Linked DNA regions of Alligator mississippiensis. The protein of the gene in region 2 binds, or shares a complex with, the protein of the main gene of each other region. Links are inferred from orthologs where the notes say so. Each region holds a gene or a part of one and is shown on either strand. Other genes may lie near its edges. The genes, in order: FAM98B and ZBTB8OS.

The links.
Region 1: ZBTB8OS (region 2) and FAM98B share a complex: the UniProt entries of both Homo sapiens proteins name them as parts of the tRNA-splicing ligase complex. The link is inferred for Alligator mississippiensis from reciprocal best matches to the Homo sapiens genes ZBTB8OS and FAM98B.

Annotation. Positions count from the first base shown.
Region 1 is NC_081825.1:245,050,979-245,066,484, forward strand, and holds the start of FAM98B (protein FAM98B), read right to left. Parts: upstream 7,886-15,506; 5' UTR 7,801-7,885; coding exon 7,736-7,800; intron 6,261-7,735; coding exon 6,115-6,260; intron 5,333-6,114; coding exon 5,198-5,332; intron 3,355-5,197; coding exon 3,176-3,354; intron 1-3,175. UniProt on the Homo sapiens protein: Positively stimulates PRMT1-induced protein arginine dimethylated arginine methylation.
Region 2 is NC_081829.1:5,385,897-5,402,220, reverse strand, and holds ZBTB8OS (protein archease), read right to left. Parts: upstream 7,036-16,324; 5' UTR 6,982-7,035; coding exon 6,894-6,981; intron 5,435-6,893; coding exon 5,410-5,434; intron 4,945-5,409; coding exon 4,823-4,944; intron 4,568-4,822; coding exon 4,485-4,567; intron 4,087-4,484; coding exon 4,034-4,086; intron 3,121-4,033; coding exon 3,084-3,120; intron 2,312-3,083; coding exon 2,225-2,311; 3' UTR 1,487-2,224; downstream 1-1,486. Other genes in the region: histone-binding protein RBBP4, read left to right, coding at 8,971-8,986, 9,454-9,601, 10,438-10,583, 12,838-13,011, 13,916-14,031, 14,155-14,333, 14,422-14,548, 14,671-14,748 and 2 more. UniProt on the Homo sapiens protein: Component of the tRNA-splicing ligase complex required to facilitate the enzymatic turnover of catalytic subunit RTCB. Together with DDX1, acts by facilitating the guanylylation of RTCB, a key intermediate step in tRNA ligation.

The DNA.
Region 1 (15,506 bases), on a different chromosome or scaffold from region 2:
CCTTAGGGCGGGGGCTCCACAGCAGAACCCCTGCGCTGGAGCATGCGGATACAGGGAAGCAGGTAGCTCAGAGCTGGCTGGCTGGGGCACAGGGTGCCTCAACATGGGGGCTCCACAGTGTGTGGAGATGGGGGAGCATTCAGCCTTGGGCCGCCAGCTCCCCCGTCTCCACTGCCGCTCCTTGGCTGCCTGGGGCACAGGGTGCCTCAGTACAGGGGCTGCCTAACAGCTAGCACTGCACTGAGGCACCCTGCGCCCAGCCAGCCCCCTCTGAAGCACATGGAGTAGAGGGACAATGTGTCCCACTGCAAAGGGCACAGACTGTGGCACAAAGTAGCAGCACAAATTTGTGCTGCTGCAAACAGACCCCTGTCCGTGTGGACGTGGCCATAGAGGCCACTCAGTTATGACACATTTAAAAAATAAAATAAAAATTAAAGTGTAAGGTTTGTTTGTTTTTTTAAGAACACATTCTATCTACAAGATCTTAAAAACAACAACATTTTAAAATTTACTTATTGCCTAAGTTGCTTCCAATCAACTGCTAAAGAATCAGGCCAACACCAATGCCTTTGAAAAAAATCTATGCTGGGGGACCACCGGCTTGCTAGAAATTAAACTAGCTAGCCAAGGGATATAAAAACTTGCTATGAAATGAAATGCAACTGGAAACTTGGTGTTACAGTAAAACCAACAGATCCCAGTGCTATAAAAAAATCATAGGAAACAGAGACACTTAGTTGCCTATAGTCAGGGAAGTGGTCTTTTAATATTTTTGTTGAAGTTTTCATTGTTGCATGTAATACAGTGTTGCCATTCTCTATGTACACACACCTAGTGCCACACACAGGTAGCATATTAAACATTACACTGAAATTGAGTTAGAAACACACAATTAAAATATATCCAATTTAAAAGTTTTGGCTGGCTCCCATCCCTGTGGCAACATGATTTAGCAATAAGACTATGCAGGTATTTTCATTTCCTTCTGATTTTGCATTAAGAGAGGTCTGCTGTTTCACTTGAAGACACCCATCTTTAAATCTTAAGAAATGGTCAGGAAAACGCAATAACTAAAGAAATGGCAAATAAGATGAATTAGCAGTCTACCAGGCTACTTGTGTCATATCATCTCAAAAGAGTTCAATAAATTAGTATAAATTTTGATTATTTATATCATCCAGCTTGTTGAGCAGCCACATCCCTACAGAAAGAAGAGTAAGATAGCTGAGGGAATGTTTTAGTGTGGGAGACTCAGGGATCTGGTTGACTTCTGAAATGGTTATATTATTGAATGCCTCATCGTATAGGTCTGAGGTCTGTTTCCTAGATCCAAAATAACAAACTCATCAAGCTGAATAATCTTCCATTCAAACTGGTGCCCATTAGCAAAAAACTGGGTCACTACAGCCTCAATTCATGCTGTCAGAGAAGGGCTGCAGCAATAGAAAACACTCGGTATAAAAGAAGAAACAAAACCCCCAGGTATTAGTGCTGCCTTTTAGAAACACAGATTCTGAGATGTTTGGGGACCATGAAAGGATCCAACTACAATTTGTTTTCACTGGAGTCTTAGAGTTTTAGTTTATAAAAAACAAATTTAAGTTCCTTAGTCTTGATTACTCTCTAAGATACAAGAGAGTGAATATCTAGAACATCCATTGTGCCAACCAACATAGTTAATGTTGGGCATCTCAAGCTTTGGGTACCGAAGTGGGGACATCTTAAAGAGCCTGGTTTACAAAAAGTGCTTAGCATCCACCTTCTGGAAAACAAAAAAGTCTTTCAAAAATGTCCAGTTGAGCACACAAATCAAAACACCCAAAATAACTTCTTAGTCTCAGTGTTTGTTCTTCTGACAGATTATTTAGACAGCTGACATTAACTGGTAAGCATTTTATAGTAATCTAAACTATATTACAAACTTAGGCAGAAAAAGAAAAGGTTTCACATTCATCTGTTTCACTGAAAACTGAGCAGCTTTGGAGAAGTGCTCACATACATGTCTGCACACAGCACAAGAATGTGTCAACAATCCTAAACATGATCTTTAAGTACTAGAACTATAAATGATGGTAACCCCTCCTCCCCCTACAAATATCTAACATTTATAACTTCTAAATATCTTAAGAGCTATAAAAAAACCCTAAAGGTTATTTTAGAGTATGAAGAGTATTTTACAGCAAAGTAGTCAATATGGAACCAAATTAAACAAGCAGGTTGAACCTAGTAGACGATAGTTTTAAACACTGTCTTGTTGAATGAGGTTTAAGTTGTTGGGTAACTTGGGTTAGTCAGGGCTCTGAGGTGACAACCCACAGAACTGTTTAACATTAAATTACTATAATGTTAAGTACAGAATATCCTACTGGATAAACACCTAATTCACTTAAATGGATAACAGTCCAGCTGTTTTCATGGTAACAAATGTCGGTTATCTGCATATTAGTTAAGTGCCAGAACCATTTAAATTCTGAGACCTGTTATCTCTTTAGTAACTGTGCTCTGTATAAGTGCAAAACTGATGAAACAACCGGACTGTAAATTACACAGCTTCTAAAACAGCCCTCAACCAACTTGATTCTGTCAGTTTTATGGCTGCTATTGAAGCATAAGGCACTCCTAGAAAGAAGCCTTAATAAAATGCAAAAACCTTAGTGCAGTGCAATCAATAAGCACAATTTATTTTGAGTTTGGGTAAGTGTGTACTCCAAGTAAGGCAGCCCCATAGCTATGCCCTTAAAGGTTTAGGCAGTATTTATAATCCAAGAAGAAACTGTGGAAGATTGGTGTGATCAAACATTCAAATTAAATACATATTTGGATCACTGCTGATTCAGGTAAATAAAAGCAAAAACCCCATCTTATTTTAGGAGGCATTTGGTAAAATAGTAGACTTCCCCACGTGGTCCTACATTCTACAGATAGCAAAATATACCTCATCAGAAACCACATTTTTCAAAAGATAGCAAAGATTTTTCACTTGATAACCAAAATTGGCTAAAGGTATGCAATTTAGACATGATTAAAATAGTTTTCAAAACTAGAATTAACTTCTGTGTTAGTTGGAGAAACCTTTGATACTTAACATTTGACTTAATTAGACAGTAAGATATATAGTGTAAGAATATCTGAATTATAGAAAATTACAGAAAGAAAATTAAAAGTTCTGTACCTTTGATTCTACATTGCTCAATAAAAGAGGCATGTCAGAAGATGATGACTTTGATAGGCCCAGTGAATCAGAGATAGCTTCCACTTCGTGATAGATTTCATTATGCTTTTCCAAGTGAGAACCTTTAAGTTGTTTGTTGTGCAGTATCTTTAAAGCTTGAAGCTCCGTACTTAGAAATACTAGAGAAAAAAGTGCCATAATAGGATCTTTAAGAAAGCTTGAATAACTTTGTGCCTGCATTCTCACAGAAAATAAAACACAAATTAATAAAATACAAAATAAATAAAACTATAAGAAAATAGAAAGGGATTAGACAGAACTCTGTCAACTTAAGGACAAATTTCAAACATTAAAAAAAAAGTTATAGAAGCATACAACTGGATGTTACTCATTTCTGGTGCCTACTTGTTTTCTCCTGCAAAATTCTCTTGTGTGTGACTAATATTGCTCCTTATCTAAAGCAGTATCTGCCCTCAGTCTCAACTCCTTCAGCTATACGAACAGATATACATTTGTAGATGCTTCAAAAGAGGAGGAGGAGCTGTTGTTGCTTGGAAGCACATAGCAGCTGTGATGTACCTATTATGTGCGTAAAAGCCAGTAGCAATACAAGCTAGCTATATCACCCAACTCTGACCCTGGAAGAAGAAGAGTTAAAGCTCAAGTTCTTCTACACCAATGGTGCTCAGGCTGTGGTCCACAAAACCATAAGAACAACCTATCATCTAGCTGCATGCATATTGAGTTCTCTGAGCTCATAGCATGTCAGCATGGGTTCTGCTCAGAGCCCAGGGAGTGAATACCGCCACCATTTGTCTCTTTTCCCCTGCTACCTCAGTGGCAGGGACATTCACCCCCTCCACTCCACAGCTCCAACTGGTGAGCTCGGGGAAGCTCACTACACATGCAGACTTCCAACTATGCTATTTTATGAGCACTCAGCACATTTTTGATCTTACGATCTGGCCCACTTGTAAAAAAAAAACAAACCAAAAAAACCCCCCAAAAAAACCAAAAAAAAAAAAAAAAAAGCTGACTGTACTACACACTTTACACAACAATCATGCAAACATAACAGCTATATCCTTCAATAGCAGTACAATTATTATATCCATTACACTCTTTAAGTCTCTTTCTTTGACTTCTTGTCTATTCTTTCTACTCAGTTCCAGTTGTTTCTCCATCCCCTGGTTCCTTGCCAGATTTGGCTCTCTTCACACTACTATCTATGCTTTTCTGCACATTCCTAGTCCTATCAGCTTCTCACCTAATCTCAGTCTTTGTTACTTCTAATCCTTCTGTCCCATCAAGATTTCCCTCAGTGCTTCCATTTCCAAAGTCCCAGGCTTGGTAACCCAGCTTCAGCCCCTGTCTCACTAACCTCATGTCCAAGATACTATTTCCACCCCCTCAATCCAACTATTGTCATCTCTGATAGAGCTGACCTGAGCAGGGTGCGGGGCCTGGGACAAATCAGCCCATGCAGGGCCCCACCCTCACTCCGATCCCATGGCCCCAGACCCGAAAAAGCTGCCACCGCCATCCTGATCCCATGGCCCCGGACCCGAAGAAGCTGCCACCGCCATCAGTGGCGAGGGGAGTAGTAAGTGGCTCTGCCCAGCTATACACTGCTGCTGCTCTGCCCTGCTCCGTGGGGGCCCCCAAAGCACAGGGCCAAGGGTGGTTGCCCTAATTCATACCCTTAGGGATAGCCCTGGTCCTTGCCCTCAAATCAGTTGACTTCTTACCTCATGCTGTCTGGGAACCAGTAGAGAAGTCATTAAATTCACTAGAGAGGCAGGTCCTTGCTTGCAGTTTTAATACCCTACCCAAACTGATGCAGGACCACTCATTTGAAAGAAATTTCAGGTTTCGTTCCTATAATACTCAAACTGTGGGACTAGTTTATGCACTCTGATCAGCCCTAATAACTATGAGGGGCCAGAGCATGTTTTTTTAAAAATTAAGACATATACAGTACATAAAAGATACCAATTCTTAATGGGAATTATCAGAACTTACATAGGAGTTTAAGACAATCTTCTTTCTTTTGTAATCTGTCTTTAACATCTCCAGAAACAAGTACTGAATATGGGCAAGCCATTTCTTTTAAAAAACCGCTAATCTCAAGCTGGAAGCTTTCCACATCTTTCTCACCTTAAGAAAATAGAAAACAAAGTAATTGGAAAGTTAGTGGGCTTTTCAAACACAAATTACAACCTATTGCCCTTAATACAAAAGTTTATATGTGAGATATTGATTGATGGCGAAAGACATTTATGACCTATTAATCAACATCACTTTCCATGATCTTGAAGAAAATCTTGCACAAACATTTTTTTTCAAAAATGAATCTTGCAAAACACTTTTTTTTTATTCCCAAGAAAAATGTTACACTGATCTATTAAGGAAGGAGTCCACCTAGTTGAAATGAACTAGGAGCTAGCATGTAACAAAAACAGATAGTCCATTTTCCACTTTCAAATAAAAATATCACTGCCATGTGAATATTTTATATCACTAAAAATGAATCACTGTAGAGTATTTAAATTATGTAAGAAAAATAACTAAATGCTGTGTATTTATTTAAAATATCTCACTGAGGAAACAGAAAGTTTACAAATATTTGTAGGTAGTATGCTAATTTTACATTATGCCCTTTTTACATTAAGATTACTTTAAAATAATTATATTGTCAATTTAAAAAAAAAAAATTCAGTTAAGTTGAAATAGAACACTTCCATACATGCACAAATGAGCTTCAACCTCTTGCTTATCTAGATTATAGCTATTTTACTGCTAAGTTTCAAAATTGTTTCTTGAAACAAGATCATAATTTATACTTTAAGAGTAAATGACTAGGAAAAAAAAAAATCAACGCTTAGGCAAATACCAACGAATTAAAATAATATGCAGTCCAAAGTCTGTGCAAATACCACCTGCTGATGTGATACTTTCTTCCAGGTCACAGAGAGGTTTTATCTGGGAGCTTAACCAAATGCACAGTTCAAAAAATTCTGGTGAAGACAATCCATTTTCTACTGCTTTGTTCAGTGCTTCCTCCTCTAGTAGAGGACCTTTGTACCTGGACGGGGAGGGAAAAAATGAAGAGTATTAATAAAATATCTACTATTACACATGGATTTTTATACTGCTTTAAACCATTTAAGAAATATTTAGCATTAGGAGAATGATGGTGCATTATTGGAATGCATCACAAAGTGGGAGACGTACATGTTCATCTACCACAAATAAGACAAATCACTCAATCGTTCTATTTACCCTGTAGCATTTCAGGCTACATTGAATACACTAGGCATCAGGGCACAGTTTACAGGGGCACTCAATTTTCAAAAACCACGTAAGCAAAACCGCTTACTGTTTCATCTTAGATCAGCAGCAAGTAAACCCCAAACTAACAACGCTTAATTTCACCTTTCCAAATTCACGCATTGCAGGGACACTAGGCTGCAATGTTTGGCATGTCCAGTTTCATTTAATACACCCTCAATTTCAAAACCTACTGGAAGATTTATTTTTTTTAAATTACCTCCTAAAGTTTGCTTGATTATTTTTCTGTAGTCGGAAAAAAAGAGAACTAAGAGCTGGCATTTCCGAGGGCTGCCTTGGGTCTAAAATGGTTGACAACCACTGGCCTATGAAGTGCATTTCTACCCTGCCTCCTGCCTGCCTTCACACTGACACAGCTAACCTCTCGCTACCTTTGAGGCAGACACAAGGGCCAGTTTTCACTATCCAAATGCATTCAAATCCATGAGGACGGTAAACTCCAACCATGAATTGAAGTATGCGAGAAAGGCCGGCTGAGAGCACTGCCTACCCCGCATTTTCTTTGTACATGTGTGCGGGACCAATGACAGTCACTGCACCAGAAGAGAGTTGCGTGGAAATCGGCCGCCAGCCTCGGTAGCTTGCTCCCAAGAAGGAGATCCCCACGATCGTTGCCAACTCTCACGATTTGCGGTATTGCTCTGAAGGTCTATGCTTGGGGGATGTGAAAAACTTGGCTCTTTATTTGTATTTATACACACATAAATAAAAGTGTACACTTTTATTTCTAAATGAAGGAGCTAAGGAAGTGACTGTGAGGAAGCTAGGGTTGCATCGAGGGCGGAAAAACAGGCCGGTGTCACTGCAGCCGCCCGGCTGGCCGAGTCCCCCATGGGGAAAGGCAGGGTTTCTTGGGGGCGGAGGCTGGTGGGGCAAAAGGCGCGGCGAGGACGGCGCCGGCCAAGCCCGCGCCAGCCAGGCCGAGCAGCACAGGAAGCGGGGCTGGAAGGGGAGGGCGGCCCGCCCTGCCTCTGCCCCTGCCCCGCAGCATCCCTGCTCCCGCCACGGGGCTGCAGGGGACGCCGGTTCCTGCTCCCCCTGCCCCGCGACCACTTCCCGGGCCGAGGCGGAGTCTGCGGGCGCACGCGGGGCCCAGGCGCCGCTCGGGGAGGGGAGGGGAGGGGACAGGAGAGAAGAGGAGGGCCCGGCCCAACGCGGCACGGCGCCCCTGCCCGCTCCCCTCGCGGGCCCCAGCCGCCGCCGCCTCACCCCAGCGCCTCCAGCGTGTCCAGGATGTCTCCCTCCATCCGCAGCGCCGGCTCCAGCTCCTTCATGCTGCCGCGGCGCCCGCCCCGCGGTGTCCCGCTCTCACGAGCCCGGCTGCAACCGCCGCCCTCGCCGCGCGTTCCCGCCTGTAAACGGCCGCGGCCCGGCCCGCCTTCGCCGCCCCCGCCCCCGCCCTCGCGGGCCCCGAGCAGCCCCTGGCAGGCTGCCAGCCGCCAAGGGAACAGCCACATTTCCCACTTTTTTTCCCCTTTAAAGAAGAATTCACTTTCAAAGTTTGCTCACGACCTTTGCCTACGTTCTTGCACCCCGCTTCCCGGGTGCAGCCCACAAGTGGAGACACGCCGGACTAGATGACCCCTGGAGGTCCCTCCCAGCCCCACTTTTCTATGACGCTCTCTCCAGCACAGCACAGCACAGCACAGCACAGCACAGCACAGGTGCGTGGCGGTGACCACCAGTCCCTGCTTGGGCGGGACAGGCCCAGGACGGGACCATCAGGTCCAGGGGCTGCACGACTCCAGGGCAGCATCTGTCCCAGATTTGCAGGCCCCTGCGCTCCAGTTTGCAGCTGGGAGCAGACACATGGGGCTCCATGTGCATGTGCACGCCCACATACATGCGTGTGGCGGGGAATACAGCTGGGCACCATGGAGAGCAGCTTCCAGCAGGTAAGTTAGGGAGAGGGCCAGGTTGAACCTTTCCATGTTGGGGAAGGAAGGACTGGGAGTGCTGCCTAGCTGGGGCAGTGCATGGGCCCACGGCCCGGGGTGGGGAGCATGATGGGAGCCATGGGTGGTTCATCCAACGGGTGTGGGGGAGAAGGGGGGCGGCTCCCTGCTATTGCAGCACCCCCTGGTGAGGGTAGGGAGGGGCACATGCCCCCCTGCCAGATTTGTGCGTGGGGCAGGGGCGGATGCAGACTGTCCGCTGCAGCATCGGGGCTCCCTGCCCTGGGAGTCCTGCGCTGGCCATGCACCCACTTCATGCCCGGTAGCAGTGGGGGCAGCAGTGAGGAGCTGTGCTCCCTGCTGCTGCCAGACAGGCAGGGAGCACACAGCCAGCATGGGGCTCCCAGGGGAGGGCAGCAGGGTGGGGAGCCCATAGCGGGTAGTCCACATCTGCCCCCACCCCACTCGGTTCTGTTCTGGCTGTGCCACTGTCGGGGGGTGGGAAGGTGGGCATGTGTCCCACCATTTCATTTTGAAAAGGCAGTCGCCTTACTTAAGAGTCCGATCCGTGAGCCATGGACCTGCCACAGAAGTTGCAGGAGAAAAAACCTGGAAGTATTCTCCCAAATTATTTGTACATGAGCATGCACTAATAGTCTGCCTGGTGACAAATGGAAGCGGTGCATAAGGCAGCCCCAGTTGGCTGATGCAGTCTGCCTGTGGTCAGCCTGTGTGTGTCTTTATGAGGCCTCAGGCACTTCCTATTATGCCTGATTTTACCACACATTTCTATTAATATTGATTCATACTACTACACATACATATATGTAAATAATCTAACTAGGGTCATATCAGTCACATTAATTCTGATATTTCATAACTTCTGAGTGCTGAACTTTGCAACCTTAGTATAGTTTGCATTCATCATCATAACTTTGGGACTTCATATATTCAAATGTTACATTCAGCATTCAAAGATACTAACTACTGAGGGTACAAAGAAATTGTCTCCAATTTGTGGTTAATGCAAGCAGATGATTGTCCACTTTCAGGATTTTATCATTGCATATTATAAGGTGCTGCATGCTTAGAGCAGTGGTTCCCAAACTCTGGGTCATGACCCCAAATGGGGTCACACCATCAGTAGATGGGGTTGTAGCTCAGTGCTCTCTCTTGCACCAGGTCCCACCCACTTGGGTACTGCTGGGATGGGAGGGCAGGAGGCGGAGGGTGGGGGGCTGTGGGACCTGGGCCTGGGGAACCTACGAGGAGTTGGGGGCTGTGGACTGGGAGTGAGGGACGCTTGAGGAGGGTGGGGGGGGTGAGTTGGGAGTGAGGGGCCAAGTTGAGCAAATGGGGTCATGCTGAGGAAAAGTTTGGAAAGCACTGGCTTAGACAGTGTTATTCTAGGATTCAGAAGAACAGTTAGGCTGGTTGGTCTGCAGTAGCTGAGATTAAATGCTTTCATGTAAAATGGGTGGTTTTCTTTCTCTTTTTCAGCCGTTCCTCCTTTTGGTGCCCCTTCTTCTCTTCCTCTTGTTTGAAAAATTCCCTCGCAATTGGCCCGTTAGAACTAAAAAAATAACGTACCTTGGATTTTAAGAATAGGTATCTAGGTCTCCTTTACAAGCATTAGCCAGGCTTCAAAGCACCGGCCATCAAATCATAGAAGAAAGTGTCATAACTTACCTTTTCTCTTTACTTTTATTATATATATCTACAGAGAGGAAAACGTTATATCACATAGGAGTATAATAATATATTAAAATACAACAGACAAGATTTTATGGAGTAGAGTAAGCAGTAGTGTAGAGGAAATGTCTATTCTCTCTTCACCTATTCTTCTCTGAGATACTCAAATCCAGGTCTTCAAAGGTATTATGTATATTTCTGTTAATAAACAGAAGCATGTTAAATCTATGTAACTAGCGCTGTTCATGATATACATTTTATGGTAAGTGGTTAGAAGGAATTACTCTTGGAAAAGCAGTATTCAGGCTCTTCATGATAAAAATAAAAATGTGTAGAGACACAGTAAGCGTAAGTTTCATAAAATCCATTAATTTTCTCCTTTATAATATACAACATGGTGAAAAAACAGATCGAATGTAAAGAGATGAGAAGCAGATTCCACAACAGCTATTTCAATGCAGAGCACAAACAAATCTACATGCCTCTTCCTGTATATTTTCATTTCAATAATATGCAGTATAAAGATGCATTTCATAGAAAACAACCACTAGAGGGGACCATAGAAGCAGAGAAGAAAGGGGAATAAAATATTCAAAGTACTAACAATTTTTTTGTCTAACACTGAGAGCTTGTCTATATGCAAATGTGTACTTGCTTAAATAAATGTGTAATTTAAAATTGATTGAATTAAATCAATGCAAAATACTATGTGGACACTTTTCAATCAATATAAGTAACTTATATTGATTTAGTTTAAATTGATTAAGGACAGGTTTAAGCTAAAATGAAATAAAGTATTCCTAAGCCAAAATAGGAGTGTTTTCAGAGGGTGTTATTTGATTTAATTTAAATTGTTTAAATGCAAATGGTTCAACTTCTATCTGTAGACAAATAGCTATTCTTTGAGCTGTTGGGAAAACCTTGCACGCTGATCTTTAAACTTGTCTACAAACAAAGGTTGCACATACGTAACTTAATATAGTTTAAAAACTGATGTAGTTAAACCCAATGCTAAGCCCATAGTTAGCACACTTACATTCATTCAAAATTGATTGGGATGTCCACGCAAAATAACACTAGTTTAACTAAGGGTATGGACAGAGATTCAGGAAGGTTAGGGGGAAGTTGGATCAACTTAAAAATGGCCACCCAATCTAAGTATGTTGAGATGGGGGATGGGGGGAGATCAGAGGCAGCTAGCGAGGTCCATGGGGGGCTGGTGGGATTGGGGAGGCTAACAGGGTCCCTAGGGGGATTGGTGGGTCAGAGTGACCAGCAGGGTCTGTGGTGAGGCTTGGGGAGGGATGCGGGAGATCCCCCCCACCCCCCCCAGAACCACGGGTTATTTTTAGCCTCCCAACACCCCCACCCCCAGACAAACAACCCTCCCAGCTAACCAACCTCCCAGTCTTGCCAACATCCCAACTTACTTCCTTGGCTCCCAGCACCAGTGAAAGCCAGTAAAATGGCACTGGGAGCAGCTTGCAGGATAGGGGGTTTGGCAGGTGGTGGGGGGTGGGGGTGGTGGCTGGTCTGTGAGACGGGTTATCCATCTGGGAGTGGAGCATGGGGTTTGGGCAGGGGGGCGGGGGGGAGAAGGGGGTGCTAAAAATAGCTCAGTGCCAGGGCAGTAGGGGGTTAGGAAAAGCACAGCCCTATACCTGGGGCCAGCAGCTGGGCTTTCCCAGCCCTATGACTGCACGGGGGACTGTACAGAAGTTCAGTTAGATTGATCTCACTGGACCCAATCAAATTAAATTACCTCCTAGGTACAGTTAACTTAGATCAGGTTGGTCATTTTTAGATGGACCTAACCTTCCTGATCTTCCATACAGTTTGCACTTAGATTGACCTAACTAGGGATCTAAGTGTAAGGTCCACATCAGGGCAAATTACATTAGATTGGGTGGCCATTTTTAAAGTGATCTACCCTTCCTCTGATCTCTCCAAACAACTGTATGTACCCTAAATCAGTTTACAATAACAGTTAAACTGGTACAATTTTGTGTCCAGTCCACACATTCAAAATAATTAGATGCAAATTAGAGTTTCACTAACTAAAACAGAATATAGCAATTTACACGGGTTAAGAATCCTGTGCATTAAGTAGCTAGTGCTACTTAATTGAAGGTGCACACACAAGGTACATTTACAGTAGAAAAATCTGTCTTTATATCAGTGTAAAGATGGGATAGACATGATGTACAAATCAACACCAGTGGAAGCCACTACTCTAAAGTAAAGATACTGCTGGGATAGTCAGGTGTGACTATACACTGGTACACATGATGTGTGTCTGCAGTTCAATTTAATTTCATCTTAGGACAGCCATTTGCACAATGCAAATAGGATATTATTAGCTCCCTGCAGTTTAACTGTGAGGTGCTGAAATGGTGTCCATTTTAGGCAGCTACCTCCTGACAGCTGGCTGGGTGTCCCTGAAGACATGAGGGTAACTTACATTACCATTCAAAATAATGAAATTTTTACTGGTGTAAATGTTTCAAATATCTGCTTTCTATCATTGAAGCTTGCCTCCCATTATAAGCATTTGATTTAGATTCTGTCTCCCCAAACTCCAATCCACCTGACCTTGTTGCATATAGATTTCAATCAGGAAAGAACTATTTTGAAAACTTTGTGACAAGGTACATGGGAGATATGATAGGTCAAAATGAAAGGCTTTTTTATCGGGGACATTTTATTAACTTCGTTATATCTCCAAGAAGTTCTGGGTTTAGAAACTCCACATTTATTTTAGCCATTTAGTCTTGGCAAAAAGGAGTACTGGTGAAGTGTGTGAGGGTGATCTGGTGGGGAGAACTTTTATTTATGTACTTCATAAAGTCTCCAAGGAAGGCAGCCTTAATTGTAAAACAGCAGGCAGGAATCATATGAATTTAACTTGCTTTAAAAGTTATAATAGTGTATTACTCCTGGCTACAATTTGTCTAGCCCTTGTGAGTATGTAGTTGAGGAGAAGGAATAATACCTTTCTCACATTCTATGGTTAGAATTGTAGTTTCTGGAAAGGGAGTACAGGCACTGCTTCAAGATTACTTCCTCAGGAGCAGATGGTTCTCCAAGGACAGTGAGGCAAAGTCAGAGTAAAGCAAAGCTATCTCTACACAGGACCAGCTGCACAAGGTGAGTTATATATTCCAGCTACGGAGTGCAACCCTTTCAGTACTTTCCCGTCCTAAGCTGGTATGACTCTCTACTATTCTCAATACAGGGCACATCTATACATGCTATTAATGCTACAAAGGCTTACTGCCTAGTGAAATACTGGGCAGTAAGCCTTCTCTGGGAACATGCCTACATTGACGGGACAGTTCCCAGCCAGCCCCAGGCTGCTTGGGGAAATCCCTGCACAGCCCAGAGCTGGCTGGGAGCTTTCCCAGAAAGGCCAGCCCTGGGCTACACAGGGAAGCTGGGAGCTCCCAAGTCCTGTGGCGAGCTGAGCAGCACTGGGAGAGGAAGTGGGGCAGGGAGCTACCCCATCCAGGCACTGCTTGGCTTCCAGCTTCTGGCAGGAGCTTGGAGCTGAGTAGTGCCAGGACGGGGGGCGTTCCCCATCCCCTGTGGCCCTCTAGTGTTGGGGTTGACTGGGAGCAAATTTGTTCCTGGTCAGCATCTACACATGCACTACTGAGCAGTACCTACGGTGCACTTAGTTTACTATCTGTATTTACAGATAGTAACTAACTGCACAGGAAACTAATTTACTGCACAGTAAATGGTGCGCATGTGTAGAAGCTGACACTTTACAGAAGATTAGTCTACTGTGCAGTAAAGCATCTCATGTAGACACACTCACAGAGTTGTACCTGTGAGACAATCTAGCTCTGTGAGATTATTGGCTCATGGAGCTAAGGTAAATAGTGCACAGTTTAATAAGTATTTTGCCATTTACTTCAATAGGGCTAGGACTGGGGGCCTGAAAATATTTCAGCAAGATATGTTCTTAATTGTTGGGACCACTAATGTCCTTGGCAACTACACCTCCCCCTTAGCTTTTGATTGTTCTGCTAGCAGCATTACAAAGGAAAGGCACTTTTTTGTACCTGAGATAGGTAGGTTTGCACCTTACAGACTCATGTTAGTCAAGTAGAAGTCAAATAAGACAGTAAAGTAGAAGGGTTGTGAAGTGAGCATCAGCCAACAAAAGCTTGTTCTACGCGCGCGCACACACACACACACACACACACACACACACACACACACACACACACACACTGCTTAGCCTAAAAGGTCCAAATCTACCATGCCTTGTACTTGACTTTAGACTAACATGGCTATCTACATGGGTGGCAAATTGATTAGATGGTCACACCCAGAGAGTGGTGGTGGATGGGTCGTTTTTGACCTGGAGGGATATGGGCAGTGGAGTCCCCCAGGGCTCGGTCCTGGGGCCTGTACTGTTCAACATCTTTATCAGCGATCTGGATGTGGGTGTGGAAAGCACGCTGTCCAAATTCGCTGACGACACCAAGTTGTGGGACGAGGTGGGTACACTGGAGGGGAGGGACAGAATCCAGCTAGATCTAGACAAATTACAGAGGTGGGTGGATGAGAATAGGATGGAATTCAGTGTAGACAAATGCAAGGTGCTGCATCTAGGGAGAAGGAACCAGCAACACACCTACAGGCTGGGGAACACCCTTCTTGTCAACATGGTGGCAGAAAGGGATCTTGGAGTCATTGTTAACTCCAGGATGAACATGAGCTGCCAATGTGAGGAGCGGTCAGTAAGGCTAACTGCACCTTGTCATGCATCTTCAGATGCATCACAAGCAGGTCCAGGGAGGTGATCCTTCCCCTCTATGGGGTGCTGGTCAGGCCACAGTTGGAGTATTGCATCCAGTTCTGGGTGCCGCACTTCAAGAGGGATGTGGCTAGCATTGAGAGGGCCCAGAGGAGGGCCACCTGCGTGGTCAAGGGGCAGCAGGGCAGGCCATACAAAGAGAGGCTAAAGGGCGTGAATGTATTCAGCTTCCACAAGAGAAGACAGAGGGGATCTGGTGGCCGTTTACTACCTCACCAAGGGGGGCCAGCAGGAATTGGGGGAGGCTCTGTTCCCCCAGGCACCACCTGGGGTTACTAGGAATAATGGCCACAAATTGTTAGAGAGAAGGTTCAGGCTGGACATCAGGAGACATTACTTTACAGTTAGGGCTGTCAGGCTCTGGAATGGGCTCCCAAGTGAGTTGGTGCTCTCTCCTACCTTGGGGGTCTTCAGGAGGAGGCTGGGACAGATATTTGGCTGGGGTGATATGACCCCGGCACCCCTTCCTGCCCGGGGGGAGGGGAATGGACCTGATGATCTGTTTAGGTCCCTTCCAACCGTAAGCACTATGATACATCTCTCTACTCATTGTGACAGCTGAAAA
Region 2 (16,324 bases):
CACATACGCTCCTTCCCACACCAAACCCAGCCAATCTTTTCCCTGCCCTCCCCAGTTTAAGTAGCCTCTCCCATCTCCGAGACGGAAGGCAACACAGAGGATGCGTTGCTTGTGGGACGAATGCACTGGGCGGTAAGCCCATTTGCAACCCCTTCCCACTGACCACCCGTAAGGCAGCACTTTGAACTCGATCCCTAAAACACAACCTGCTGCTAGAGTGGCGCCAAGATTCGACTAGACCGGCTGGACCTTCAGAATAGAGTTGGACAGAAGTAACTGGTTTCAGCAAAAATCAAACAGAGGGTACCATAAAAAGGGGAAGATGTTAAAATAAGCTACTTAAATGAACCTGCTCTTTCCTCACTCTGTTGCTTTCTGAAAAATAAAAATGAAGGATGATCGAGCATGACTACTCAGTGTAGGATAGACTTGCTTCTTCAGACACTTGGGCTGGATTTCAGGCATGCAATGCTGACACAGGTTGGAAACCCCCAAACCGTACTCACTCCTTTCTGGGACTATTTGGCAGGTCATTCCTTCTCCTTAAAGTACCTTCCTTTTACAAATATGATCTTAAATTACCATTTCAAGGGATATTCATTGCCCTGCGTGGAACAGTAATGAGAACAGCGACAGCCCCTCACAATACATCTGTACACTGCTTTGAAAAGAAACATGCAACTTTACTCATCCAAAACATCCGCTCTCCAAAAACTAGTCACACATTCACAAACAATTCCTTAGAAATGCAGATTTTCAGTTGCAATTTTGTTTTTCCTTAGAAGAGACTTGTTTGTTCGTCTCCCTCGGTTTTTGCCTATCCCACCCAACACCAAACCTGAAAACAAAGGATTTGTCTTCTCATTACTGGGGACAGGGGAAGCAAAAATAACCAACTGAAAAATCCAAAGTGGAGACAAAGCACTTACAATGTTTGGTGCAAACCAGCAAGGAGACATCATCATATGAATAGTTTAGTGCACAGTGGAACTAGAGTGCCGTGTCTCCATTTTTTTTTAAATGATTTCAAATAAGGGATAGCCAGTGAATATTAGTTTGGAGGGGCTGGGTAGGGGACACACTTCTTTTTTTTTTTTTATTCCAGGAGTGAGTGGATAGTGGAAGTGCCAGTAGAGGAAAGTTCAAGTATTTAAGGAAAGGCAAGGGAACTTTCCTCAGCAATTGCACACCAGGGTCTAAGAAGTGTGTGCTGTGTAATCCAGTGAAAAAAAAAAGTACTATGTAAACATCATGTGTAGCCTCCTATGCTGCTCCGGAGGTTGTTATTACGCTTTCTAAAGGAGAAGACTAAAGCAGCCAATTTACATAGACTTGTATACATTAAAACAGAACAGAATTTTCCTTTTTATTGCAAGAGACTATTGTCCTGAAACTGCAGATGATTTTGGTAGATGCCTTTCTACACCAGCAGTGAAATCCAGCCTTCACTTTTTTGGAAGAATGAAAGGAATAATTAATACTCCAGTCACATGGATACTGCTTTATTAGGTCAGACTATCAGTTAGCACTATATGGAGATTTAGCACCACCTGGTGGCATCTTTTCTAATATCATTCAGATATTTTTGAAGGCGTTTGCTGCTTTAAAATCATTGCAATGCACTTATAATTTTCGTAAAAAGACCTCAAGTGGCAGAGATCTTAAAGGCATTAAATAATGCAAAAGAACAATGTCACCTCAGCCTGAGTAAATTAAAATGCGCACCAATGAAGCACAACGAGAGGTAGGTCCTTCAGAATAAAGGCAAAGAAAATGTGTACATCAAATTTTCTCTGTCTTCTGCCAGCTTGCAACAAGATAATATTTTGACTAATAAAGATAAGAAGTAATTAATTTCTTACTGATCACCCATGTTCACCAGGACACAGTACCAATGCCAATTTAAAAATCAATGCACAACAGCAGTGCTAGTGAGAAATTTTAACTCCTTATGCTGCTCTTGCAAGTTTGAGATGTGCAAGCTTCTTAAAACTAGTTTCTTGTCTAGACATCCAATTCCCAGACTCGTCTGCCGTTCCTCAAAGTCAAGACACATCTGAATATTTCTTAATTCCCCTGACTCATTCAGTAAAATAACATTAACAGTACAATTCAGCAATTTTAGCCAATCGTTTAGTTATTTCTGTGGAGGTAGCAGAGTTTGTGGGACCTTTGCTGGCTAAGAATGATTTTTCCAGGCATTTCAGCAGCATTTTCTTCTTTTTTAGATATCAATGATGACAAAAACTTCTGGCTTTTGGTCTTCATGGATCTGCATTGCAGAGTAAGTTATTGCCTTGACTTCAGTACCCTGGATGAAACAAGCACAGAAAGATGGATTTTGTAAGTCATAAGCCCTAATAGCCACTCCACATGAATGCACACACACACTATTTTTTGGCTCCCTGGGCATGGCAAGTTAGAGAATCCTTCTCCCTGAAGCATGGCTGTACTATATTTGTTCTGATGAGTACAAAGAATGGGACATCACCAAGCAATCGCTCACCTAGACACCAGAGCTGCCCAACAGCAAAACAAGTAGTTTCTCCGTTCTTCACTACCACTCACTGCAGCAGGGCATCAAACCTCTCTCCTAGCTAACGAAGACCACTATAATTTGCTTCTCTTGGGTTAAAGCAACCATCACAGACTGTTAGCAAAAAGGGGAGGGTGGGAAAGTAGGAGTGGAATGTAATAAAACAAATTATATTAGTTTATTACTAATTTTCGATAAGACTCACAGCCCAATGACTAGTTCTACTGCACACAAACCAAACTCATGAAAACATCCCGTGTTGGGACTGAACTGGCATGTCACTGGTGTCAGAAAAAAGAGCCAAAATTGTGACCCATTTCAGCCACTGCTTGAGTAATCATACAGATGGTATTCCTAACATTGTTGACTAATAGTCCCATTCACAAACAGCAGCTAGCAAACAAGGGCTTTGGTATCAGAGGTAACAGAGTTGTACAAGCAGAAAAGTTTAAAATTGGATCTCCGAATAAACTTAGTGGTCTAGTTAAAAGAGAAAAGCCCATATTTTACCTGAAAATGTAAATCATAAAAGTCATTTGGTACATACCTGAGGATGTTTGGGTAGAGAGAACTCTTCCCCCCACCTTATGTGAGAAGAGAAAAGAAAAGAAACTGTTGAAATTTTGGTTTAATTCAGCAAATACTACTATTGGCTTCATTAGTACACATAAAGACCTGGAATTCCAGCTTTAAGTACTGGAGAAGGAAACAGGAAGTCTCCAAGCACTTCATGGTAAATGCCACACAGCTTTAGCCCATCATAGTAATTGTCATCAGTTGTCCATTCAAAATGGGGACTTAATATAGTGTGGGGATAGCCACTCCCACAAGGAGTTAAACCATTTCTGGCAAAGATACTTAGTATTTGCAACATGCTTTTTAAATGTTAAGCCCTGTGTCCCATCATCTAGGCTCCTTAGCAAACTATTTAAAAAGTGAGCTAACTAAATGAATTCAACATCACTTCTTCAAATCATAGACCATACAAGGCCTCAGAGACGTAGAAAAAAAAAATTGAAGAGACACTAATTTGCTTTTCATAAGTAACTTGGAAATCCTGGGATTATTAATTTTGTTTCCTATCTGCTTCCAGGTTTTTGAAAGTGACTGGTTGAAATGTATTGGGATAGATAATATTTACATCTTGATTTTGCAAACATGAAATGATTTTTCTCCATGATAGCTTTTTTTCCTCTATCAGCCCTTTCATAGCATCTGATAAAGTAGATTGTTGTCTACAAGAGCTCACACCTCTCTGAACCAGTTACTTTTTAAGGTGTCATTGTACCCTACCTTCCACATGACAGCTTCTGTGGTAGATACTAACATTTATATGAGGATAACAAGCAGATATTATAACTTGCCTAGGTTTAAAGTGGGCGCCGGTGGAAGAGTCAACTTCAAACTTGGCTGTTCCCCTAAGTAAGCTATATTGCTTTTAAATTTGTGTGCACACATTTGAGTTTTGCTTTTAACCAGAATGTTCTGCTTACTCACCCAATGGATCTTATTTTGAAACTCATTCGGTCAATGGAGAGCACTTTCACCTCCTGCAGAGAAAGTAACAGGAAAAAATGGCCACAAAGAGCATTTCTCATATAGTTTTATGCCATATGACGACTCCCTGTACTATTCCCATGCAAAGTTAAATATTCATATTGCCATCATTAGAGACACAAGAAGAGTTCAATCAGCCTCAGAGATACGCTGATGTTTAGATGTGCAGAGAACTGCAATTACAACATAACCAAAGCCATAACGGGTTTGAAAACAACAAAATTGAGAGTTTACTCCTCCTTCAACTCATGCTTGTACCCACAATTTCCTATGCATTGGTAGGCCTAAGCAGACCTGTTGGTTCCAATGTTTTTGCCCCAAGAATAATAAATTTGGGGCAAGCGTTGGCAGTGAATATGCCTGCCCCATATGCTGGGAAAAAAATACATACCCTGGGTATGAAGAACTGGTCAGCGCTGAATGTATACAGCCACTCATTCAAGAAGTTATAAAGAAGAGACAGCATGTCATGTCCTGTAGGACAGAAACAGCAAAAGAAACTCAGTTGGGTGCCCTGTTCAGAATTTTGCAAACTTCCTTTTTGTGTACATCAGGGCAGAAGTTCAGTTTTCCTGCTTATTATGTACTTGCATATTCAGATTTGGAAAGAATAAGTTAGTTTAATAAACCTGTGCCAATACTACATGCAATAAGCCAGCTATTTCTGACTGAAAGGCAAAGTTAATTTCAACAGTATTCTCTTTCAAAGTTTGCACAGTGCCTTCTTACCTTCTGTCTGCACTTCTACAGTATCCAAGGGCTCCACAGTCTCTGTATCTGTTATGTAGCCAAACATGGCCATAGCACACTGCTCAAAAGCTTCTTCCAAAGTATCTCCCCAGGCATGTAACCTACAGAGACGTAAGAGTTACACCATCATACAGCAGCGACAAAGAAAGACGAGAAAATACAAGTAAGGAATTGGAGTACCATAGAAATACGAGTAGGAAAAGCAGCAAACACAGTGCCTTTAAGCAGGGAGACTTGTCTATGGTAAGTGCTGAAACACTGAAAGACAATGGAGTTTCTTTTGGAGGAACAACATGGAAAAATATTGAGTATTTTACTAAAAACCATGGATATCTAAACAGGTACTGTTGGAACATATGTACATGGAACATTTGGAAATAAGAGGCAGCAGAATTATGAAACAAATACAGCATCTTTAAATGTGGCATCCACAGGCCCAAAAGGGATATATTTGCACCCTATTCTCTTGTCACATTAGATTTTGTCAGTTACTCCTGATTGACAAGTATTGAAGAGAATCAGGCTTATAGAGAAATTCTACTCAAATTCCAGCTGTAAATACTCACTGAACATCAGCCGTGTGATCCAGATCTGAAGGATTAGGAGAAAAAAAGAAAGAGTTATGGAATTGTCAAAGTTGTTTAGAAAAACAACGCATGACTACTTGCAAGAAAATTCAGGTCCTGTTTTTATCATGAGAATATTTTGTGCATGTTTTGACACATCTGACCTCATATTAATAATGTTAATCTGACCTTTAGCTAAATATGCTATAAAAGGATCAATATGATAGCAGCACATAGTAGGTACCATAATAGGTTTTAAAAGAAAGCCACCAAGAAAAACAACCCCTCCATAATAAACCCATCACCTTGTTTCCACAAAAAGTACCCCCAATATATATGCATTTCATACCATCCTTCAATAGATGAAAATGTTATAGAGCTTTCCCAAACTATACAGGCCACATGGAAGAAACTTAAAGACAGAATTTGAACCCAAAACTCTTGTTTCAATTTTCTTCTCCTTGAAGTTGGTAACCTTCCCCCTGCCCCCCATATTGTAATCAGTCTCACATCAATGTTCACTTAAAATGCCAGAAAAGCATTTTAGATAATCTGTTTTATGGAGCAGCTCACAGAAATTTTGTTTCTCAAGGAACTTTTGATCTGACTTCCCTTGTGGGGATAAAAGAACAGATGGTGTAATAGGCCTGGCTTTACACTGTATCCCTAATATTGGTAGAATACCCTAAAACCCATCCAACTTGTGTTACTGGGGTTAAACTGGATATGAAAACCAGGCATTAATTCAAAATGAGTTGCATGCTTATGGGAACAAGCTGTGCAGTGTCAGTGGAAACCAGTATTCTGCAGAATTACTGCCAGATACAGTTGTGCCACTAAGATGCATAATACCGGGAGCTGCAGTGCTGAGCACTTGTTGTCTGCCCTTCAACCAGCAGGAGTTGAGGGGACTCAGTAACGCACAGGATCAGACCCTACCATACCTCCCTCCTTATAACAGCTCCACACTAAGGCATTATACTTAAGTTTTAAAACAAAATAAGCATTGGTACTTTGTTCTGAGCTGACTGGCTAATAAATCAGTGGTGGCAGATGTGATTTGCATAATTAACCAGCTCTTGGATTATAGTTTCTCCAATGAATATTATATTTTCTTAGTATGGTATCATCATTACCCCCTACTGCAAGTCAGTTTTGAGTGATAATACCACTTTTCATTTCACCCAGCAAGATTTGCTTCCTTCTCTTTTCAGGCTTTCAAAATAAACTTCCAGTTGCAAAGTCAGGAGTCACTAACTAGTTATGGCAACCTGCCTGGAGGTGCTGAACACACAGGGACTTCTTTAGGACCCATCGCACAAAGCTAAATGATCTCCGTTAAGATAACATATCAAGACGCATCAATAAGCCTCCCCTACCCACTTAGAGACAAGATCCCAGGGCACAGTGTGAAGCACAAGTTTTACACGTGCTTAGGTCTATACCTCCCCTCCCAGCCACAGACATGCCATGGGGATACTCACACTCATACTTCTTATTGAGTGGAGGGTACTTGGCTTTGATAGCCTTCTGCTCCTGGTTCAGGTTGTAATCCCGGAAATTATCAGCCATCACTGTCAGCCTTGCAGCACCTGCTTCCTGCTTTATTCAGACAGCCCCTCTTCGCCTGATCCAGCCCAGACTCACCATGTGATCCTACCCTTTAAAGGCAGAGCTCCCTGCTCGACTGGAGAGCAATGAGGACACCAAGTGGCACTGAAAATAAGTGAGGTTTGAAATGTGCACCCCTGAATTCTCCAGCCACAAAATCCTTTGCAAGGGTATTTTTTAGCCTGCAAAAACGTACTAGGCAGTGAGTCAATGAAGCTGAAAGAAGTTCTCAATGTGCCTAAAGTTAAGCTTCATTTTCAGGATCCGCACCACAAATAGCTTACACCTTGAGCTAGTGCCAGGCTGTCCTTTGGTTTAACTTGATTAATTTTGCGCAGCCTCAAGCATGCTGCTGCTGCTCAAGAAGAAGGAAAATAGCAAAAGAAAAGGAAAACACTGGCGATTTAGACTGTTTGAGGCTTCCACCAGGGGCCGAGCGCTATGAATGAAAGCGAAAGGGGGGAAACGATGAGATGGTTTCTAGAGTTAATTCCAGTAGAAGGAAAAGCTGGTATTTATTTATTTTTTAAATCTAAGACTAAATAAATACCATCAGTTACTCTGTTTTTTTAAAGATGGGAGTAAAGAATACAATTTGTAAGAAAAGTGTAGTCCTGTTCTCAGTGGTGGCCAAGGAGCAGCGGTCTGACGTTGCAGCAAGGGTGGTTTAGGTTGGATATTAGGAAATACTCTCTCACTGGGAGGGTGATGGTGATGAAGCACTGGAGCGGGTCACCTAGACAGATGGTGCAGTCTCCATCCTTGGAGGTTTTCAAAACCCAGCTTGGCAAAGCCTTCACTGGGATGATGTAGTTGGGGCTGGTCCTGCTCGGAGCAGGGGTTGGACTAGATGTGACCTCCCGAGGTCCCTCCAGCTCTCATGTTCTGTGATACGGTGATGATATCGGGTAGGTGTTCTCCAGCGTCCTCCTTCGGAGCCCCTGCGTGGTCTGCTTTATTCTCACACCGCTGCAAAATACTGACTCCAGTTGGAAATAATCAGCGTCTTTCCTGCTGCAGTGAAGAGCGAGGCCAGAGGCTAATCAGCAGCGATCCCGGTTTTCTCCGATTAAAAAAAATTTTTTTTTTAAATCCCCATTTTTCAGTTAAATCACAAAAAAATGTGGATTTTTTAAATGAAACCTCATTAATATATAGGTAAATACTAGTGATGTTTAATCTTAATCATGGAAAAACATGGATCTGGGATTACTTTAACTGAAAATTGGGGATATCCAGAGAAAACCAGGATCCCTAATAGTCAGCAAAGGCCGACCATAATGTCTCCTACACAGGACGCTCTTGTACAAAACTCTTACGATCTCCAGCGCTGATCGGACTCTTTGGGGGAAAATCAGAGGGGAAAAAAGAAACAAACCCCCACGTAGGAAGCAGATTCAGGCAAAAACTGAATTTTGTCCTTCAAACCTAGAACGAAACAAAAAGGGGGGCAAATAAATATTGCTTTATTCGAGATCAATATTGCTATATAGGCTAATAAATATTGCTTTATTCAAGATCCTCAATCCTGTCTGATCACAGGTTGCAGCGACTGGCAGGCAAGCCCTAGGCTGCTTGCTTTTCTGCCCCTCCCGCAGCAGCCTTGAGAAACAGGGTCAATGAGGCTTGAGCCCCAGCAAGGGCATGAGGGGCCGCTGGCCCTTTAAGGCGGCCCGCCATGCTGCCCCTCCGTCAGAAAATGGCGGCTCCCATGGGAGCTTCACCAGCGCCGGCCCCTCCCACGTGACCGTACAGCAAGCCCGCCGCCTCCTTAGGCCCGCCCTGTCAAGCGCCCGCCGGGCTCCTATTGGCGGCGGGCGCCCGGCCGCGGGCGGTGATTGGCGGGCGTTGGCGCGAAGGGCGCGCGGCGCCGGAGTGGCACGCAGAGGGGGTCGGAAACAATAGAGCGGCGGCTGCACCGAGCCGGCAGCCCGCGCCCCGCACCCCAACATGGCGGACAAGGAAGGTACGTGCGGCCGGGAGCAGGGCCTGGCGCCGCGGCCGGGAGTGGGACCTCCCCAGCCCTGCCGGAGCAAGCAGCCCTTGGGCCTCCCTTCTCTTCCTGTCCGGCTCCTCCGTGGGAGCCTTCAAAGAGGCATTTCCCCCCCCCTTTAATTAGCATGTGTTGCATAATTTTCCTTTAATTTGCATATTTGATATCATTGGCCCTTCATCTGCACAGCAAAGCCCCCAATTCTGGTTCTTGGGGGGGACTGAAATGCTTCCCCAGGTCTGTGCGCGGTGGGGGGGGCCCTTGGTAATGGGCCCGTGAGGGCCACGGAGGGCGGGCGGGCGGGTGGGAAGGTGCACCCTGGCAGTGGGTGGGTTTGTTTGGCAGCTACGGCAAAGCGACGGGGCCGCACGGGTAGGGTGCTAGCCGGACCCGCCGTTGAAATGAACACGTTCTTTTTTCCTCCCCTTGGCGACGTGCAGCAGCCTTCGACGATGCGGTGGAGGAGCGGGTGATCAACGAGGAGTACAAGATCTGGAAGAAGAACACGCCCTTCCTCTACGACCTGGTGATGACCCACGCGCTCGAGTGGCCCAGCTTGACTGCCCAGTGGCTTCCTGATGTAACCAGGTGAGTCGAGCCTCCTGGTTGTTGGTGTAAATGGGACTGAAGGACGCTTTCGCTGTCACGTATGGGAGGGAGTGGGTTGCTGCCGGCTGTGATCAGCTCTTTGGCCACAGTAGGTTGAGGACTGTTGTGCTGGCACCAGGCAGCACCTCTGCTGCCTGCTGCCTGGTGCCTCTTTGATTCAGAAATAGCTGCTGACTGGCAGCAAATGTTTCAGGCTGTGTTCAACCTGTAACTAAGTGATGTTTTCTTCTTTACCCTCCATTGATGAAGTTGCAAAATGAACGTACGCAGCATTTAGGTATTGTTCAAAACCCTTCTGCTGTGCAGCACAACTGTTCTTTCCCCGGGTCCCTGACACAATGTATTTTTCCACCTGTCACTTGCAGAAAATGCTAATATGCCTCAAGGCGTTACTCACGGGAGTACTAGTGGGAGAGTCCTGCGGGGAGAAGAGAGCTTGTATTGTGGGGATGTCAGATACAGATTTCCTTGCTGCTATCTGTCTAAGGTTGGACAGGGGTGATTTTGTTTGGGATAGCAGCAAGGAAATAGGTATCTGCTATCCGTCTAGGGTTGGACTGCGGTGATTTTGTTTGGGATAGCAGCAAGGAAATAGGTATCTGCTGTCCGTCTAGGGTTGGACTGCGGTGATTTTGTTTGGAAGATTTGATATTGGAGTAAGAGGGCATGGTCAGCGCTAAAAGATATATTATAATTTTTATTTTATTTATTTATTTTTGGAGGTTTAATTTCCAGGTCCAGGTTTGTTCCTGTGAGCCAACTATATCTAATTAACTCCCTTTCATTTCCCCTCCTGTAATCCTATTTTGTTGTAGACCCGAAGGCAAAGATTTCAGTATTCACCGGCTAGTCCTGGGGACACATACTTCAGACGAGCAAAATCATCTTGTGATAGCCAGCGTGCAGCTGCCCAATGACGATGCACAGTTTGATGCTTCACATTATGATAGCGAGAAAGGAGGTAAGAGTCTCGGATGATCAGCAAGTGGAGTTCCAAACTTTTTTTTCCCACTGGACATAATGGCTTTTTTCATTTGGAGTTAATAGATCATTAAGTAATATGGAACTTTTATCCTATGAAGTGATCAGGAGAGGTTACAACTTTTCCTCCTTTCTTCTTGGATCTGTGCACTGTACTCTAATCTTCCATATGCCATGCTGAATTAAACTTACTTTTTGCTTTTATAACATTTTGAAGAGGAGAGGGGTAGAACTTATTGGAAGATTGTGCAATAGAAATTATTTTAATTATTTCTCATTGTGACTGCATAAAGTATTCTTTATGATGGTAGCTTTCATAATTTGATAAAAGAGGCTTTCTGCCATTCCTTAGAGGGTGTACAATTTCAAGTGTTCTTTTTAGCTTGAATTCTGCTGACTGGTAGACGTGCCAGCCCCTCCAGAATAAAAGGATGATTGTATTTTGCTCAGTTAAATGCCATAATACCATGGGATCCAAACCAAATATATCAGTAACCTTCCTAGGCAGCCAGCATTCCTACCTATTAGCCATATCTTATTCTAGTTGGGTTAATGATTTCTTCCACGTTATACAACTTTTCCAGTTCAGTTGTCTCATTTCCTTGTTTGCCAGGAGCCAAGGTTGTGCAATTGATACCTTGATTGTTGGACTTGCTAGTACTGCTTGTAAACAAGATTCTGTCTAAAATACTTCATTTCAGGATTTCTGTTTCCCAGAAATATCAAATTTTAGTACCACTACTTCTTTTCTTTTGTTGTTGTCTTCAATTCCTTTTTGTTTTTTCAGAGTGAGTATTAAAGTATAGTATATTAAAAAGTTTTGCAATATTACTTGCGATCATAAGGCTGTAGATATCTTTTCCTTTTATTCTGTTTATTTCCTGAAATCTGCTTGTGATCCTGAAAATAGGTTTAGTTTTGACTTGGTTGTATATGATTAAAAGTGTGTGTGTGTGATAGAGAGAGAGATTCCTGTACAAAGTGTGTAAGTTGGGGTCTCTCTCGGTGCAGGTGCTGACAAATACTTGCTCTCCAATTCACAATACAAATGTTAAATATAGCTTCGGCAAATCTGTTGAGGAATTTCAGTCACTTATCTGATTTTTTCTTTTTTTATAACGGCTTTACGGCTACTTTATTTTTCCGTACAAGGCAGTTTGCTCTTTTGAATTGAATAGCAGATTGGAAGCCAGGTGCTCTTGACAATGAGGGATAGTGCTGTGGCCTTGAGCAATGCTGTCTTTCTACCTCAGTTTTCTCGTGTTTAAAACTAATAGTTTTTATCTTTTTAAATACTTGATCAGCTATAATTTTTCTGGCTCCTAAGCTTTTGGCAAAGCATTTTTTTCAGACTCTGTCTTACAGGGGATGTAAACTTTTTATTAAGATTTCTTGAAGTATGCCCATCACTAAAGGGAGTCTTGGCACTTTACTGTGAATTCTCTTTTGGAGACTTTAGGCAAAAAGTTATGGATTTAAGAATTTTTCTGAAAGAGTCAGCTCCTGTGTTTATGGACCAGATTCCACTGCAGTTTCATTATATTTCTCTCCCATTTTTTTTTTTTAATGCTGTGAATCCCAGTTTTAGAATTGGTAAACTGACCTCCACACTATGGAAGAGAGGGTAGAGATTCTGTTACTCTGACAGTTCTCACTTCCTTTGTCTGCTTAAACAATGGTGGCAGTTCATGTTTTCTTTCTTAGATGGATTTGCCTGTCAAATTGTACAAGGTTCTAGATCTTCCTTTTGGAGTCATGAGGGTAGGCTGAAGACTGGAGTGTATATCTCTGCATATGTAGGCTATTGCAGCCCCAGACCTTAATAGGAACATGATGCGTGGTTTAACATGGTTTTAACCACATGTCAGTCAGCATACAGCTGTTTGCAGACAGATAGGTGCAAGTTTGATAGCCCCAAGGGAGCCTTTTATTGGTAAAACATCTGTCATTAGCTTTTTATCAGAAATAGTCATCAAACTTTTCAGTAATGAGCTCTTAAGTGTGATCTGGAAATGTGTTAAAAACCAGCAGGGCTCACGTAGTAACTGCAACTCGTATTAAAATTAAAACCTTGAAAATCAGTTTTGCTTGGCTTTTTATTTTTCTTTATGCCTTGTCAATAGACTCTTTGCTCTGTGACTGTGTGGATACTTCTTTGGCTTTGCTGAATCCTTTGTATGATTTGAACGATATGTACAGCTCACCATTAACATACATCTATCCTTTATTTCCAGAGTTTGGAGGCTTTGGCTCTGTTAGTGGGAAGATTGAGATTGAAATCAAGATCAACCATGAAGGAGAAGTGAACAGAGCACGTTACATGCCCCAAAATCCATGTATCATTGCTACAAAGACTCCATCCAGCGATGTCCTGGTCTTTGACTACACCAAGCACCCTTCTAAACCAGGTGTCTGTATCTATGTAACTTGAAGATTGGGCACAGAACCTCAAATACAGTTTGAACAGGAACTCAGAGTCTTTTCGGGGGGGGGGGAAAGGCTGACACTGTTCTGTGGCAGTTGAAGGGCTTTTGTGGGTTACGTGTCATTTTTAATTTTAGAATAAAATGGTCGCTTTCCAAGGTGCTTAAAAAGGGAAATACATTTACAGATCTTTAAAACACACACTTCCATTGGCCTTCTCACTGCATGTTCTGCTGTAGCTCTGCTTATTATCTATTTTTTTAAAGTTGAATATCCTGTGATGGTCTCCATTTGCTGTTGCTCATTTATTGTAGCACTGCAATGCTACTTTCTTTGCAATGGTGGAAGAGGCTCACTAGCCAGCGGAGAGCTATTTCATCTGTTTGCTGGCTAAACCGCTGTCCCTTTTTTGTTGTAAAATAACTAGAAAAAACCTTCAGGGACCTGGCTTAGTCTTTGGTGGGGTGTGAACATAAGATAGTCTCCAAGTTTCAAAGTGAGACTGGAACCCAAATGTAGAAATATATCTAAAAATGACGAATATATCTTTGTGCAATTAAGGAGAATTCTTAAAGTAGTGACCAAGGTGGTGTTTTCATCACCTAGTTTTTGACAAAGATTGAAGATAGTAAGAATTGTTTTGCTTATATAACGTGTAGCAAGTGGAACTGAGCCCCTTAGTATTACTGAAATATTCAGTGGGTGAGCTAGTGTCTGTATTAAGCATTTGAAAACCATCATCAGTAGCATTTTGTTTAATCTTGTAAACTCTCATGTCTCTCAGTGGGATGGTTCTGTTACTGGAGGAAGTCAAATCTACGTTTTTTGTCAAGCACTTACACCGGCAGAGTTGTTTGGAACCTAAGTTTACTGAAACTCTCTTTGCAGACCCTTCTGGTGAGTGTAACCCTGACTTGCGTCTTCGTGGACACCAGAAGGAAGGCTATGGGCTGTCATGGAACCCAAATCTCAGTGGACATTTGCTTAGTGCTTCTGATGATCATGTGAGTACAGCAAATAAAATTGGTATGTCAGCTGTACGTTAGTTGCAGAGCTTGATCAACTATTACACTTGGGGGGTGGGCTATTGCGGCCGGGGGGGGGTGAAGAGTTCATCTATCTTAAAGATACCCCTTTTCTCTAAGACCATCTGCTTGTGGGATATTAGTGCTGTTCCAAAGGAAGGCAAAGTGGTGGATGCAAAGACCATCTTTACTGGACATACAGCAGTAGTGGAAGATGTATCTTGGCACCTGCTCCATGAATCTCTCTTTGGATCTGTTGCTGATGATCAGAAGCTCATGATGTAAGTGAGAGCATTACCCAGGAATGTTTCTGTTTTGAAATGAAAGAAACTTCCCTCCTCCAATTGCATGTTTTCTCTCTCTCTCTAGCTGGGACACCCGGTCAAACAATACCTCCAAGCCCAGTCATTCAGTAGATGCTCACACGGCTGAAGTGAACTGCCTGTCTTTCAATCCCTATAGCGAGTTTATTTTGGCCACAGGATCAGCTGATAAGGTAGGCCTGACTTGAGATTAGGGACTGTCATCTGTCCCAAACCTGTTTCCACTTTGGAAAGCATATATTAGTTAACTTTGATGAAAGTGTTTCTTGAATTTCTCTCTTCTCTTCCTGAACAGACTGTTGCTTTATGGGATCTGAGAAACCTGAAACTGAAGCTCCACTCGTTTGAATCGCACAAAGATGAAATATTTCAGGTACAGTAAACTGGCATCTTTATAAATATCTTCATTTCTTTCCCAGTCAGAGCTGCAGGTTTGTCAGCAACTTGAAAAACTTAGAAATAGCCTTTTATTTTTCTTTCTTTTCCTTGTTACTCAACATTTAATGCAAGTATGCCATGTTCTTTAGCTGTTCTGTGTCTGAAGACATCCTTGGCTATGGGAAAGCTACCAAACACATAAGGTTGCTTATAAAACTGATGGAGTGAATGGAACAGGACAGATGAAAGACCACTTCAGTGGCTGTACCTAGAAGTGAAAACAATCAGCCAAATTATATATGGCAGTAAATGGGAGCAGGGAACTTGCTGAGATGCCTGTAGCATCTTCATCTCCTGGAGGAAGACTTATAGCTGCATAGAATACAAACTGGGGACCAATAGTATGGGTCTTCCAGGCTAGCTAGACACAAGGAACAATTGTGAAAGTAGACATCTCTTAATAAAAAACTAAGCAAGTTTTGGTACAAGAAGAGCTGGCAAATGAGTGTTATCAGAGTAGCACAAATGTGATTTGAAAGAACATGTAGGACTTTCTAAATAAGGCAATAGTTTACATTCTTTTTAGAGAGGGTTATTTTTAGAGCTGTTTCACACTATTTCTACAAAGTATTGGCAGAATTGTATTCAGAGCCCTAGATTTTTTTTTTTTTCCCCCCCTGAATCTTTCTGCTCTGTTGAGCAGTGTTCCTAGGAGTGTTCTTTCTGAGTGGAGGTAGTAACTATTTTTAACTGGGATAAGCAGAATTGTGGGATTCCTTTGTCTTTCCCCTGTTCAGCTTATTTTGCTCCATGTAAGTTAGCTTCCTGTTTCAAAGGAATGAATGGTTTGCATTTGGATAACTCACCATTGTAGATGTCATAGCAAGTAGTGTTCTTGGAAGATTTGGACCTGTTCTTCAAGCATCCTACATGAAAAGATTTCATGTTGTACATCATTAATGCTTTGAAACCCAAAGTCAGCAGTGTTCATAAACCAGTTTCTCCCTCTGAAGCATTTTCAATGGGAATATGTGAACTAATGAGTTTTCCAGTATCAAATTGCAAGTATATTTTCTCTACAGTTAGGACAGAGATCCTATTATTTTTTGTCTCATGTCACTGCTTTAAGATTCACCTCTTTTTCTCATTTGTTTCTTGCAGGTGCAGTGGTCTCCCCACAATGAAACCATTTTGGCTTCCAGTGGTACTGACCGTAGGCTAAACGTCTGGGACTTAAGGTAAATCCTAAACTGATAGTGTTGTGTGATCTGCTGCTGGTGTGGTGTGTATTTTCCTAAGAATTGATTTTTTTTTTTTGTGTGTGCGCCCGCATGTTCTGCAAAATATATCTGTTTCAATTTTGCCCTTGTTTCTACTACAGTAAAATTGGAGAAGAGCAGTCTCCTGAGGATGCAGAGGATGGCCCACCAGAGCTCTTGGTAAGAGGGAGGAGGGGTTGTTGTGGTGTCTGCTTCTTCTCCCAACTCCTATTACAGCAGAACCAAGGTTATTTGTATCTAGGTGACATGCAGTGTGTGCAGATTTAAGGGCAAGTTGTTTTGCAGCTGGTT